Linked DNA regions of Ovis aries. The protein of the gene in region 1 binds, or shares a complex with, the protein of each later gene. Links are inferred from orthologs where the notes say so. Each region holds a gene or a part of one and is shown in the gene's direction. Other genes may lie near its edges.

Region 1 (4,123 bases):
CCTAGATTTCTCCACCTAGTTTTAATAACGTTTTATAGTATCTTTATAAAACTGCCTTACAGCCCTGAGGAGAGGGACTATTACAAATACATACATAAACTGAAGAAAATCATCCTTACCCTTAGGGTGCAGAGCTAGCTGTTTTAGCATATTTATGACTGCAGGTTTGTTGTTTTAATTTGAATTCATCACTAATAATGTAAAGTTCCAGCATTTCATATAAAAAACCAGATTTCAAATAGATATCTCTATAGGAAAAAATGTAGAAGTTCTAATCTCCCTGGACCTGACTAGCAGATCAGTCTTGAGCAGCAACTGTGGTCTCCAGCGGCCACAGCAGTTCTCACAAGTTCATTGGGCTCATTTATATTACTTGAGAGGCCTGCTAATGAGTTCAAAACAAGGAACTTCAGGATTCTGCATACACACACGCAGGCGCGTGTGTTTTTTCTCGTTCTTTGAAAAAGGATGGAGAAGTAACAGGCACCATTCATTCTGCAGCCTTCAATGCACCTTTCCGCTGCGTTGGGCCTAGTAATAGGCGATGAAAAAAGAGAGAGATCTGGGTCCCGGTTGGTACCACCAACGATTGGTCAGAGCAGGAATCGCCGCCACTAACAAACACAAGCAGTGTTGAATGTAGTTATTAAATATATACAAAGCTTGGTGCTGAACCGAAGGTAGAACGGTACTTGATGTAGAATCTAAGGAATCTAAGCTCGGCTCCCCTATATTACACAGTCGTCTAGGCAGCGCACAGGTTCACAGGAGACGAGGCGGAAACACAGTGATGGCTTGCCTCTGCACAGAATCACAGACAACGCCGACTCCCGGACTGGGCGCAGTCTCCTAAGACGCGCCCGTTTCCGGAGCAACCGCCCAGTCCCTCCCCCATTGACTCCGCCCCCGGGGGCGTCTTTCCCGCCCAAGGCCGTTAACCCCGCAGAGCATTGTGGGATAAAGCTATAGGCTAGGTTTCACTAAATCCTTCCAAAGCGCCTTTGCTTTAAGAGACTTATTCCTGGGGAAACTGATTATTCTTTAGGACTCGACAAGATTAATAACCCTCTTTTACAAGGGCTCTGCCCTAAATCTTTACCACAGGGCCGGTCACTTCCTTTGCAAAGCTCTCGGCACCACGGGAACGCGGGAACTTTTTTCCCTTCGCGCGGAGGGTGACGTCGCGCGTGCGCCAGCGTCCCTTTCGCTGCACACCCGTTACGCTCTTGCGCGTGCGCAGTGAGATCGAATAGCTGCTTCCTCCCGCTTCTCTTCTTCCCTCCCCCCCATATCCGTGCGCCGAGCTGATAAAGGCGCCATTTTGGAGGGGCCGCGGGAGACGTGGTGTCGCGGCGGGCTCGCTCTGCCGTTCGCTAGGCTTGGTGGGAAGGCCTGTTCTCGAGTCCGCGCTTTTCGTCGCCGCCATGTCGGGAGGTGGTGTGATTCGTGGCCCGGCAGGGAACAACGACTGCCGCATCTACGTAGGGAACTTACCTCCAGACATCCGAACCAAGGACATTGAGGACGTGTTCTACAAATACGGTGCTATCCGCGACATCGACCTGAAGAATCGCCGCGGAGGACCGCCCTTCGCCTTCGTTGAGTTCGAGGACCCGCGGTGAGGCGGCCAGGGACTTGCGGCCTTGAGGATATAGGTTGGAGTAGTTGGGGAGTGCTCCAAGGCCTTAGAGAGAATGGGGACGTGGGCTCTGAGGTTGGGAGCAAGACGAGTCGGCCGCGCACGAGTGAAGTGAGGAGCCGAGTCGGTGAGGCTTCCCTGGTGACTGGGTCCCCCGGGCGTCTCCGGAGCCGGCTCGCGGGCTCGGAGCGGGAAACTGAGGCGCTGAGGGCTGCTGTAGTGGTCGGGAGCCTGGCGTGCTTCTGGGTGGGGGAGGGGCCGTCCCTATTATGCGGCGCATGTGGGCTCTTCCACCCCGGGTGCGCATGTGCGGGGCGCTGCTGGCTCCCCGACGGAGGTGGCCACCCCTCCCGGCCCTTTTTCTTACCCTTCGGCTTTCTGTAATCACGCAGGGATGCGGAAGACGCGGTGTACGGTCGCGACGGCTATGATTACGATGGATATCGTCTGCGGGTGGAGTTTCCTCGAAGTGGCCGTGGTACAGGCCGAGGCGGCGGCGGGGGTGGAGGTGGCGGGGCTCCCCGGGGCCGCTATGGCCCCCCATCCAGGCGTTCTGAAAACAGAGTGGTTGTCTCTGGTAAGTTGACCGTTCCGCGCGGGTCGATGTCACTTTTGGACAGATCCTACACTTTAAAGTTTTCCTTGCATGCGTAGTTTGACAAATGCTAGCTTTCATGGTAGGTCTTTAAATTATTTCAGTCGCATGGATGAATTTAGTAACCAGGAATTACTGTATTTGAGATTTAACGAATTAGATTGCAGTGTCTAGAATATGAAGATCATTACTTTGTAAATAATTTGGGGCTTTTAATTCTAGAATTTTGAATCATTAACCTAGGATGTTAAAACTAATCATTAATTTTAAAGTAGTCTTGGTTCTAATGTAAATTTTAACTTTAATGTGAAATACTAGGATAATTGTTGAAAAAAACTCTTTTTCAGGACTGCCTCCAAGTGGAAGCTGGCAGGATTTAAAGGATCACATGCGTGAAGCAGGTGATGTATGTTATGCTGATGTTTACCGAGATGGCACTGGTGTCGTGGAGTTTGTACGGAAAGAAGATATGACCTATGCAGTTCGAAAACTGGATAACACTAAGTTTAGATCTCATGAGGTAGGTTATACACTTATTCTTTTTATTGGCCAGAATTGGATACAGTGGTCTTAACTGTGGAATTTGAAGGTAAGATTCAGGCAAGGGTGTCCAAGTAAACCCAGTAAAGTGCCTCTGGTTTAAATTACGTTGTATTCATTCAGCATGCCTGAAGACAGGTGAAAACTTAGATCTTTCAATCGAAAGTTCTGTCTATTCAATAGGGAGAAACTGCCTACATCCGGGTTAAAGTTGATGGGCCCAGAAGTCCAAGTTATGGAAGATCTCGATCTCGAAGCCGTAGTCGTAGCAGAAGCCGTAGCAGAAGCAACAGCAGGAGTCGAAGTTATTCCCCAAGGAGAAGCAGAGGATCACCACGCTATTCTCCCCGTCATAGCAGATCTCGCTCTCGTACATAAGATGATTGGTGACACTTTTTTGTAGAACCCATGTTGTATACAGTTTTCCTTTATTCAGTACAATCTTTTCATTTTTTAATTCAAACTGTTTTGTTCAGAATGGGCTAAAGTGTTGAATTGCATTCTTGTGTAATACCCCTTGCTCCTAACATCTACATTCCCCTCATGTCGATAAATTGTATTTTAAGTGATGTCATAGCCAGGATTGTTTAAATTTAGTTAACTCTCCATGCTCTTCAGACTGTGATATTGTGTAAATGTCTATTCTGCTCTGGTTTGTGTGAACTGGGATGTTGGGGGTGTTTGTGGTTATCTTACCTGGGGAAGTTCTTATGTTTATCTTGCTTTTCATGTGTCTTTCTGTAGACATATCTGAAGAGATGGATTAAGAATGCTTTGGATTAAGGATTGTGGAGCACATTTCAATCATTTTAGGATTGTCAAAAGGAGGATTGAGGAGGATCAGATCAATAATGGAGGCAATGGTATGACTCCAAGTGCTATTGTCACAGATGAAATTGGCAGTATTGACCTTATACTAAAGGCAAGGGTTTAAATTGATTATGTATACATCTACCATAAAACACTTGTAAGCATCTTAATGCAGTTACCTTTAGCTACAATTGCTTTGCTCTTTAAACCTTGGCAATTGTGGCAAAATTACATTGCCCATTTTGTAACTATTTTGCTCCCTTCCCTTTTTTATTTTAATAGGGACTAATGTGGGAAGAACTGGCTAATTTGTCATAATGCTTAGTTACAACTGTTAATGTGTGACCTGCTGTTGGTGTACATGTGGGTACAGGGTGTCTTTAATTCCAACCAGATAGAGTATAATATCAATACTGCTAAATCTGCATGTCCTCTGTGTGACTGATATAGCGTTGCTACTTCATTTTTTAAAGACAAAATGAAAGCAAAATATAGAATTCCAACATATTGGTGTAGATAATCTAGTTGGGAATAATTTT
Region 2 (3,531 bases), on another chromosome or scaffold:
GATGTCATTAAGGCAGCTCACCTTTGTGCTGAAGCTGCCCTACGCCTGGTCAAACCTGGAAATCAGGTGAGCTGTTTAGTCCAAGTCCAAAGCTTGATAGAGCCAAAGGTGCGTTCAGGATGTACTGCTATTCTATACTGAAAGAGAAGAGGCAGGAACTAAAAGAGTTTAAACCGAAGAGATGTTAAATCTTAGTGCCTACCTTAGGTGGTATGATGCTCACTGTAAGGGGATGATGGGTGCTCCTTTTCTTATGGAGCCTATAGAGATCCTTCCTTTTTCATGTTTTGGATGTGTATTGTTCCTGGAAATAATTTGAGATAGATAGCTCACAATAAAACACAGATATTGAAACTAAGTTTTAAAAGCTTATAACACAAAAATAATAATAGTACCAGTAAATTTGTGGCAAAGAAAGGCCAAAGACCCTTCCAAGACAATATTAGGACGTCCAGGGATCATAAATTTCTCATGAATTCATACAATAACATGTTAGACTACTAGTGGAGACTTTGTCTAACACTTAGATTTCAGAACCTGTTCAATACATAAAGCATCCTCTTTCTCTGTGCTCTTCACCCTTTTTATCCGTTTGTCCCCATTATCACTTAATTGCATCGTTTTTACTTCAGCCTCTGTTGTAGTTTTCTTGCAGTGGTATCTATCAAAGAGCTATTATAAAGCACTTTGAATAGTACCTGGCACAGAGTTAACCCTTTTGTTAGCTATTAATATTTTACATATTGATTATTTTTATTATTTATATGCTTACTATAAGATACTATTAATGTAGTGGCTGTTGTCTAGCTATGACCTGAGACTTTCTGGATTCTCATCCCATTACCACCCACTACTGATTTAAAATGAAATAACTTCAAAATTTCCTCATCTGTAAAGTGGGAAAAATTAAATTGTGCCTCATTCTCACAGGGTTGTGAAGATTGAGATGATCCATATAAAGTGATTATCACAGTACCTGACATGTAGTTTAATAATAGCTATGATTGGAAATTCACTTTTCTTTTTCTCTTAACTATAATTTAGGTGAGGATCAGCTCATGATTGAAAGAGGTAAAGAGGACAAAATAAAACTTTCTGTACCCTTTCAACAGGTTAGAATGCCAGGTATCATGGACTAAACACTGTGATCCGAAAACCTGAGTTTATACCAGGTTCTTTTGGTTAACTGGTTTAACCTTGAGCAAATCATATAACCCTTCTGAGCCTCAGTTTCCTCCTCCAAATTAGGATGTAGATTACCATACAGAATTGTTGGCACTAGTCACCTTACAGAATTGTTGTCTAAGCAGACCATCTTTGTGATAGTGCTTTGTAAAATGGTATGCAAATTTGATTTCTAGGTTGTAAGATGCTAGGGCTATGAAATGAAAAATTACTGAGAATCATTGCATTTGCTGGAGGATATTAGAACTCAGTTCTTTATGCTGCTGCTTCTCATAGTAGACAACTTACTAGCTCCTGGTATTTTACGTTTTATTTGATCTTGTACTTCTAGAACACACAAGTGACAGAAGCCTGGAACAAAGTTGCCCACTCATTTAATTGCACACCAATAGAAGGTGAGACTTCAGATAGTGGGGTTGAGGGTCTCAGTATGAGTGGTTTAGCAGAATTAAGACTTTTGTTCCCTTGAGCATCCACCCTGGCTCTGGCATAATCCAAGCCGCAAACCTCAGTGCCCCGTTTCCATAGCTGGGCACTTTGCTCTCATTGCCTGCTCCGTGGCTCTACTTGGGTAGGTGGGTTGGAAACCTTTGGGGATTCTAGATGAGTGGTGCCACAGGCTTTGTCCTCTACAGGTATGCTGTCACACCAGTTGAAGCAGCATGTCATTGATGGAGAGAAAACCATTATCCAGAATCCCACAGACCAGCAGAAGTAGGTGCCCTGTATCCCACTGTCTACCTTCTGTCATATAAGACTAGTTACGAAGTTCTTCCATACTCCAGGCTAATCTTATCCACCTTCTCTTCTAAGCTCCAGGAACCACTTATTGCTCCTTATTGTTCCCTTTCTGTTCTTTTAGGAAAGACCATGAAAAAGCAGAATTTGAGGTACATGAAGTATATGCTGTGGATGTTCTCGTCAGCTCAGGAGAGGGCAAGGTGATGAATGTTTACCAGATCCGGCAGAGAGGGGAGGCTGGGGGTGGGTTCCAAGAGCACCAGATCAAATATGATGTTTTATAGGCCAAGGATGCAGGACAGAGAACCACCATTTACAAGAGAGACCCCTCTAAGCAGTATGGCCTGAAAATGAAAACTTCCCGTGCCTTCTTCAGTGAGGTTGAAAGGCGTTTTGATGCCATGCCCTTTACTTTAAGGTACTACTGCACTTAGCGAGGACAGGACTTGGAACAGTCTGACCCGTAGACCATACAGCCAGATCTCTTTCCTTCCCCTACCCTGCTTGCCCTCTTTCCCTCCTCTTCTACCTAGACTTGTAGCTCCAGCCTGCATGCATGCCTTCTCTGTTTCTCCCTCTCATAGGAAGTAGTGTAAACAAAAAGCAATCCTACGCATGATTTCTGCCTGAGGGTAGGAGTTATTTAAAAACAGGAACAAAGTGGTAAAACATGACAGGGAGTTAAGGATACCTGAATTTGTCTTCCCCTCCCCAGAGCATTTGAAGATGAGAAGAAGGCCCGCATGGGTGTGGTGGAGTGCGCCAAACATGAACTGCTACAACCATTTAATGTTCTCTATGAGAAGGAGGGTGAGTTCTGAGAAGAGAGTTGTAGTTTGAAGCCTCCGATTATGGTCCCCTTCTCCTTGAAGGCAAGGGGACATTCTATCAAAACACTTTGTTTCTCTCATAGGTGAATTTGTTGCCCAGTTTAAATTTACAGTTCTGCTTATGCCCAATGGCCCTATGCGGATAACCAGTGGTCCTTTTGAGCCTGACCTTTACAAGTCCGAGATGGAGGTCCAGGATGCAGAGCTCAAGGTTAGTGTGTGATGGAAAGGAGCAGGGACATGGCACTTTTTCTGGGAGTGAGGACTGAGTGATGGGAAGTCCTGAGAAGAGCTGCAATGCCGAGAGTAGCACTTGGCATTTGCTCCATGTTCCTCAAAATTTGTTCACTTTCTTCTGTTTTGCAGGCGCTCCTCCAGAGTTCTGCAAGTCGGAAAACCCAGAAAAAGAAAAAAAAGAAGGTTTGTTATGATCATCCCTCCCTGGTGGGGTGAACCTGATCATCTTTATTCACTTTCCTGGGTCTTGGTGGGGATATAGGTGTCGATATGTCCTTATTTCTCCTCTCAGCCCTGACCTAGAGAATTAGGAATACTCTTGTCCTTGGTCCCCCAGACAGTACCCTAAGTTGTTGGAAACTGACACATCTTCTCTCCTTTCCATGAATGTAGGCCTCTAAGACTGCAGAGAATGCTACCAGTGGGGAAACTTTAGAAGAGAATGAAGCTGGGGACTGAGGTGGGTCCCGTCCCCCCAGCTTGCCACTCCTGCCTCATCCCCTTCCCGCCACACCCCAGGCTCTGTGAAGTGCAGTTC
Region 3 (4,137 bases), about 40 Mb from region 1:
GCCGGTAACCGTAGGAAGCTCTGAAGCGGGAAAATCCACCACTATTCCGCTTTGGGATGACAATAGATTTTTAGAGTGCTAATACTCAGCCTCAGGCTCCGCAGTGCAGGAGCAGAGGGCACACTCCCTAGAAAATACTAGTCTAGGGAAAGACACTTTCTGATCATTTACAGCCACCATGCTCGCGTGCTGCGGGCCTCGCCGCAGGGCCCTTGTCTCCCCGCCCCAAATCAGGCTCGACAACTTCGAATGCGCCAGGGAGCGGGACTAAGAAGCCCCAGCCAGAGAACCCGCCAACTACGACCGGGTTGTCTCACGAGCCCCGCCGGCAGCCCACACCCACCCGAAGCCTCAAGATAAGATGGGGAGGGGCGTTCAGGACTTGGACTGAAAAGGTACTTGAGCCCACACACAAACGGGGCTCCACGCAGAGACTCACCAGCCTCTGAGCCGGCCATGTCGCGGAGGCAAGTCGCCGCCGGACTCCTAGCCGGGCGCGCGCGGGACGGCGTCCTGAAAGGGCCGCACGGCGCAGACCCAGGGCTGACAGGAGAGGAAGCAAACGAAAGTGCCGGGAAGGGGTGCGGTGAAGGAGGGAGGGACGTTAAAACGGCTTCTCGCTGCTGATTGGTCACCGCGGGAGTACTTCCTTTGGCGGCACGTGCCGAGGTGGCGGTTTGCGAACTCTAGATACCATTTTTCACCAGCCAGACCCCGCTCAGGGGTCCTGGGGTGGGTGGGTTTGACAGTTCGGGTCGCCCAACAGCCCCGGCCGATTTCCCGAGGGCATTAGCACGGCACTTCCGGTGAGCTATTTCGTCTTGTACTCCTCCGCCGACGCCAACTGGGGAAGTAGTGCGTCCCGCTCACTCGGCGGGCGGGGCAGCCACGTGACAATGTCAGGCTCCGCCTTCCTGTCGCCCCTAGTAATGGGTGTAAAGGCTCTTTGGAGACGTAAACATCTTCAAGGGGACCGAGGGAGTTGACCTGGGCTGGACATTTTATTGTCTGGGCTAGACCTGGAAAAGGGCGCAGTGGTTTCCCTGAAGTGTGAAAGACCAGAAAAAGGTGAAGTCAAGAGAGTGCAGGCTTAGGCATCCCAGTGGAGGACCGCGGGGTGGGGGCGGGTCCTATCCTTGAAAGGGGCGAAAAGTCGGCAAAGGGCCCGGGGGGAGGGGCGAGAAAATGGCGGATCCCGGAACGCCGGCAGGCGTTAATAGCTCTGCGCAGGGGCGGAGTGATTAGGTCATAGAGCGGCTCCCAGCATTCTCTGCGGCGGAGGAGGCGGGCCAGGCTATAAAACCGGCTGCCGGGACGCGGCCGGCACCTCATTCATTTCCACCGGTCTCTTGTTGGGCAGCCTTGGCTTCTGTCATCGTCGTCCCTCCGCCGCTGCCGCCCCCGCAAGGCTTTGCCGTCGCCGGAGCCACCTCCAGCGACTCGTCGCACCCGATTCTCTCCGCTTCGCTTCCCGCCAACCGCAACCATTGACGCCATGTCGGGTTATTCGAGTGACCGAGACCGTGGCCGGGATCGAGGGTGAGTGTGGGAACCGACCTGTCAGGCCCGGCGGGTGGGGGATGGGAGACCGATGAGGGTTGCGGGGGTGGGGTGGCGGGGGCAACTCGGCTTCTAAAGACTATTCTCGGGCCTCCGCCATCGAAAAGGGCTTGCGCCATTTTGTTATTTGTCCAAACCTGGACTTTTCATGTTAACGGTCCTCAAGATTCTTTTTTGTTTTGGAGGGGGTATCGGGGCCTTGATGATTTGGCAACTGTTCGGAGAATTTCGAGCACATTTTTTGAGGGGAGGAAAGCGCAGCGCTTTGAGGCGAAGTCGCCACTATTAGGTGTAAGCTTACAGGAATTTTAAGGAATCTGGGGGTTCTGTGGGTGCCGAGGGGGCCGCCTCCGAAGCCGTTAATGCGGCGAGGGTTGGAGGGTGGCCGGTGCCGCGGGAATCGGCCATGTGGCCGAGCCGTGGGTACAAAATGCCGGCGGCGGACATGGCGGCGGCGCCTTTGTTACCCCGCCCGGCGGAGGAGCTCAAAATGGCAGCGTCGAGAAAATGTGGCGCAGAGAGAAATGCGAGACAAAGGGGGAAGCGCCGCCCCAGCGGGAACGCCGCCCGAAGGACTCCGCCCGGGCCGGGACTCCTCCCCCGGTAGTCTCCGGCTCCTCCTCCTCGTTTTCCTTTCGTTATATAATTTTGCTACCTTGGTAGGAAACCGTTTTGAGGGATCCCCCCAACTCGATTGGCTTGCCTAACTGTCCCCGAGCCACCCGCCGTGTTCTGCACTCACTTACCTGTGTTGTTCCGCTACCTATTAAAATCAGAGCTCTTGGTTCAGGACAGGTGCTAAGTAACATCTGTGTTAAGCTTCTGCTTTATTTTTTTTTGGCATTTAATTCTTTCGCTTGTGTGAAAGAGTAGTATCCACCAGCTGTTGTTTGTCCTTGTATCTGAACTCCTAGAGCTTGGCCAGCCAGTTTCCAACCTAGTAAATCCCGGGCTGTTGATTTGTTTTCAATGGTGTGTACTTCGTGTAACGGGAAATGAGGGAGATGTAGTACTAACTGGCTTTTGAAAGAATGACCATCACTGAGGACAGCACTTGCATCTCCAGAATCTTTCATTGAGTTTTAGCATGTGCGCAGGGATGGTAAAATAAGTCTGTACATGTTTGAAAATGCAATTTTTTTTCCCCTCAAATTTTAGGTTTGGTGCTCCTCGATTTGGAGGTAGTAGGGCAGGGCCCTTATCTGGAAAGAAGTTTGGAAACCCTGGAGAGAAACTGGTTAAAAAGAAGTGGAATCTTGATGAGCTGCCCAAGTTTGAGAAGAATTTTTATCAAGAACACCCCGATTTGGCTAGGCGTACAGCAGTGAGTAATTTCATGTGGTTTTTTCAGCTTGTAACTCAGTGACATTTAAGTTTGACTAGAAATGTCTTGCAAACTTAAAGGAATGTTAATGTTGATAATTATTAACTTAGGGGTGTGTTGGTCGTGTGTTTAGTTAGGGGGAGTCCTCGTGAGATAACTGAATTTTATAAATTTCTTTTGTAGCAAGAGGTGGAGACATACAGAAGAAGCAAGGAAATTACAGTTAGAGGTCATAACTGCCCAAAGCCAGTCCTGAATTTTTATGAGGCAAACTTCCCTGGTAAGTGCTAGTTTTCCCCACCTTAAAAAAAAAAATCCCTTTCTCATGGCATTATTGACGTTTACTTAATTCTTAACATTACAGCAAATGTCATGGATGTGATTGCAAGGCAGAACTTCACTGAACCCACAGCTATTCAAGCTCAGGGATGGCCGGTTGCTCTGAGTGGATTGGATATGGTTGGGGTAGCACAAACTGGATCTGGGAAGACTTTGTCTGTAAGTTTGGGAAACTTTGAGTTAGGTGACAGGTCCTGAAGAAAAATGGGTTGGGAATTAAAAGAAACCAGAAGTGTTTTTAATATGGCTTTTTTTGTTTGCTTTTCTTTTGTATAGTATTTGCTGCCTGCCATTGTCCACATCAATCATCAACCATTCCTAGAGAGAGGTGATGGGCCTATTGTAAGTGTACATTGTATTCTCTTAACTTGGTTAACAGCGTAGAGATTTGTAGAATATACAGCAAAAGAAAATTCTGGTGGTTTTATATGGAAGGTTATGTTTTTCAGTGTAGGAAGGGACAAAGCTGCTTTGGGTATTGACAATGTATATCATCTGCTAGTGTAGCAACAGTAAATTAGCACTTCAAAACTAGAATTCAGGGGTCTCCTAAAGGTGTTCCACTTTCTCTTTCCTTAGTGCTTGGTGCTGGCACCTACTCGGGAACTGGCCCAACAGGTGCAGCAAGTAGCTGCTGAATACTGTAGAGCATGTCGCTTGAAGTCTACTTGCATTTATGGTGGTGCTCCCAAGGGACCACAAATACGTGATTTGGAGAGAGGTATGTAACCAAAAAGGTTTTATTTGTCACTGATCATGCAGGAAGTTCTGGATGTCATGGTAACTTTTGTGTGTTTAATTAAAGGTGTGGAAATCTGTATTGCAACACCTGGAAGACTGATAGACTTTTTAGAATGTGGGAAAACCAATCTAAGAAGAACCACCTACCTTGTCCTTGATGAAGCAGATAGAAT

What was found.
Region 2: SRSF1 (region 1) and PA2G4 share a complex: the UniProt entries of both Homo sapiens proteins name them as parts of the ribonucleoprotein complex. The link is inferred for Ovis aries from reciprocal best matches to the Homo sapiens genes SRSF1 and PA2G4.
Region 3: SRSF1 (region 1) and DDX5 share a complex: the UniProt entries of both Homo sapiens proteins name them as parts of the ribonucleoprotein complex. The link is inferred for Ovis aries from reciprocal best matches to the Homo sapiens genes SRSF1 and DDX5.

What each region holds. Positions count from the first base shown.
Region 1 is NC_056064.1:8,495,238-8,499,360, reverse strand, and holds the start of SRSF1 (serine/arginine-rich splicing factor 1), read left to right. Parts: upstream 1-1,315; 5' UTR 1,316-1,424; coding exon 1,425-1,618; intron 1,619-2,031; coding exon 2,032-2,216; intron 2,217-2,581; coding exon 2,582-2,754; intron 2,755-2,957; coding exon 2,958-3,152; 3' UTR 3,153-4,123. UniProt on the Homo sapiens protein: Plays a role in preventing exon skipping, ensuring the accuracy of splicing and regulating alternative splicing.
Region 2 is NC_056056.1:163,426,902-163,430,432, reverse strand, and holds part of PA2G4 (proliferation-associated protein 2G4), read left to right. Parts: coding exon 1-66; intron 67-1,516; coding exon 1,517-1,580; intron 1,581-1,820; coding exon 1,821-1,899; intron 1,900-2,047; coding exon 2,048-2,126; intron 2,127-2,210; coding exon 2,211-2,344; intron 2,345-2,641; coding exon 2,642-2,736; intron 2,737-2,839; coding exon 2,840-2,967; intron 2,968-3,122; coding exon 3,123-3,176; intron 3,177-3,386; coding exon 3,387-3,452; 3' UTR 3,453-3,531. UniProt on the Homo sapiens protein: May play a role in a ERBB3-regulated signal transduction pathway. Seems be involved in growth regulation. Acts a corepressor of the androgen receptor (AR) and is regulated by the ERBB3 ligand neuregulin-1/heregulin (HRG).
Region 3 is NC_056064.1:48,409,321-48,413,457, reverse strand, and holds the start of DDX5 (probable ATP-dependent RNA helicase DDX5), read left to right. Parts: upstream 1-1,325; 5' UTR 1,326-1,495; coding exon 1,496-1,539; intron 1,540-2,718; coding exon 2,719-2,884; intron 2,885-3,067; coding exon 3,068-3,164; intron 3,165-3,248; coding exon 3,249-3,382; intron 3,383-3,499; coding exon 3,500-3,565; intron 3,566-3,802; coding exon 3,803-3,944; intron 3,945-4,028; coding exon 4,029-4,137. Other genes in the region: CEP95 (centrosomal protein of 95 kDa), read right to left, coding at 440-458. UniProt on the Homo sapiens protein: Involved in the alternative regulation of pre-mRNA splicing; its RNA helicase activity is necessary for increasing tau exon 10 inclusion and occurs in a RBM4-dependent manner. Binds to the tau pre-mRNA in the stem-loop region downstream of exon 10.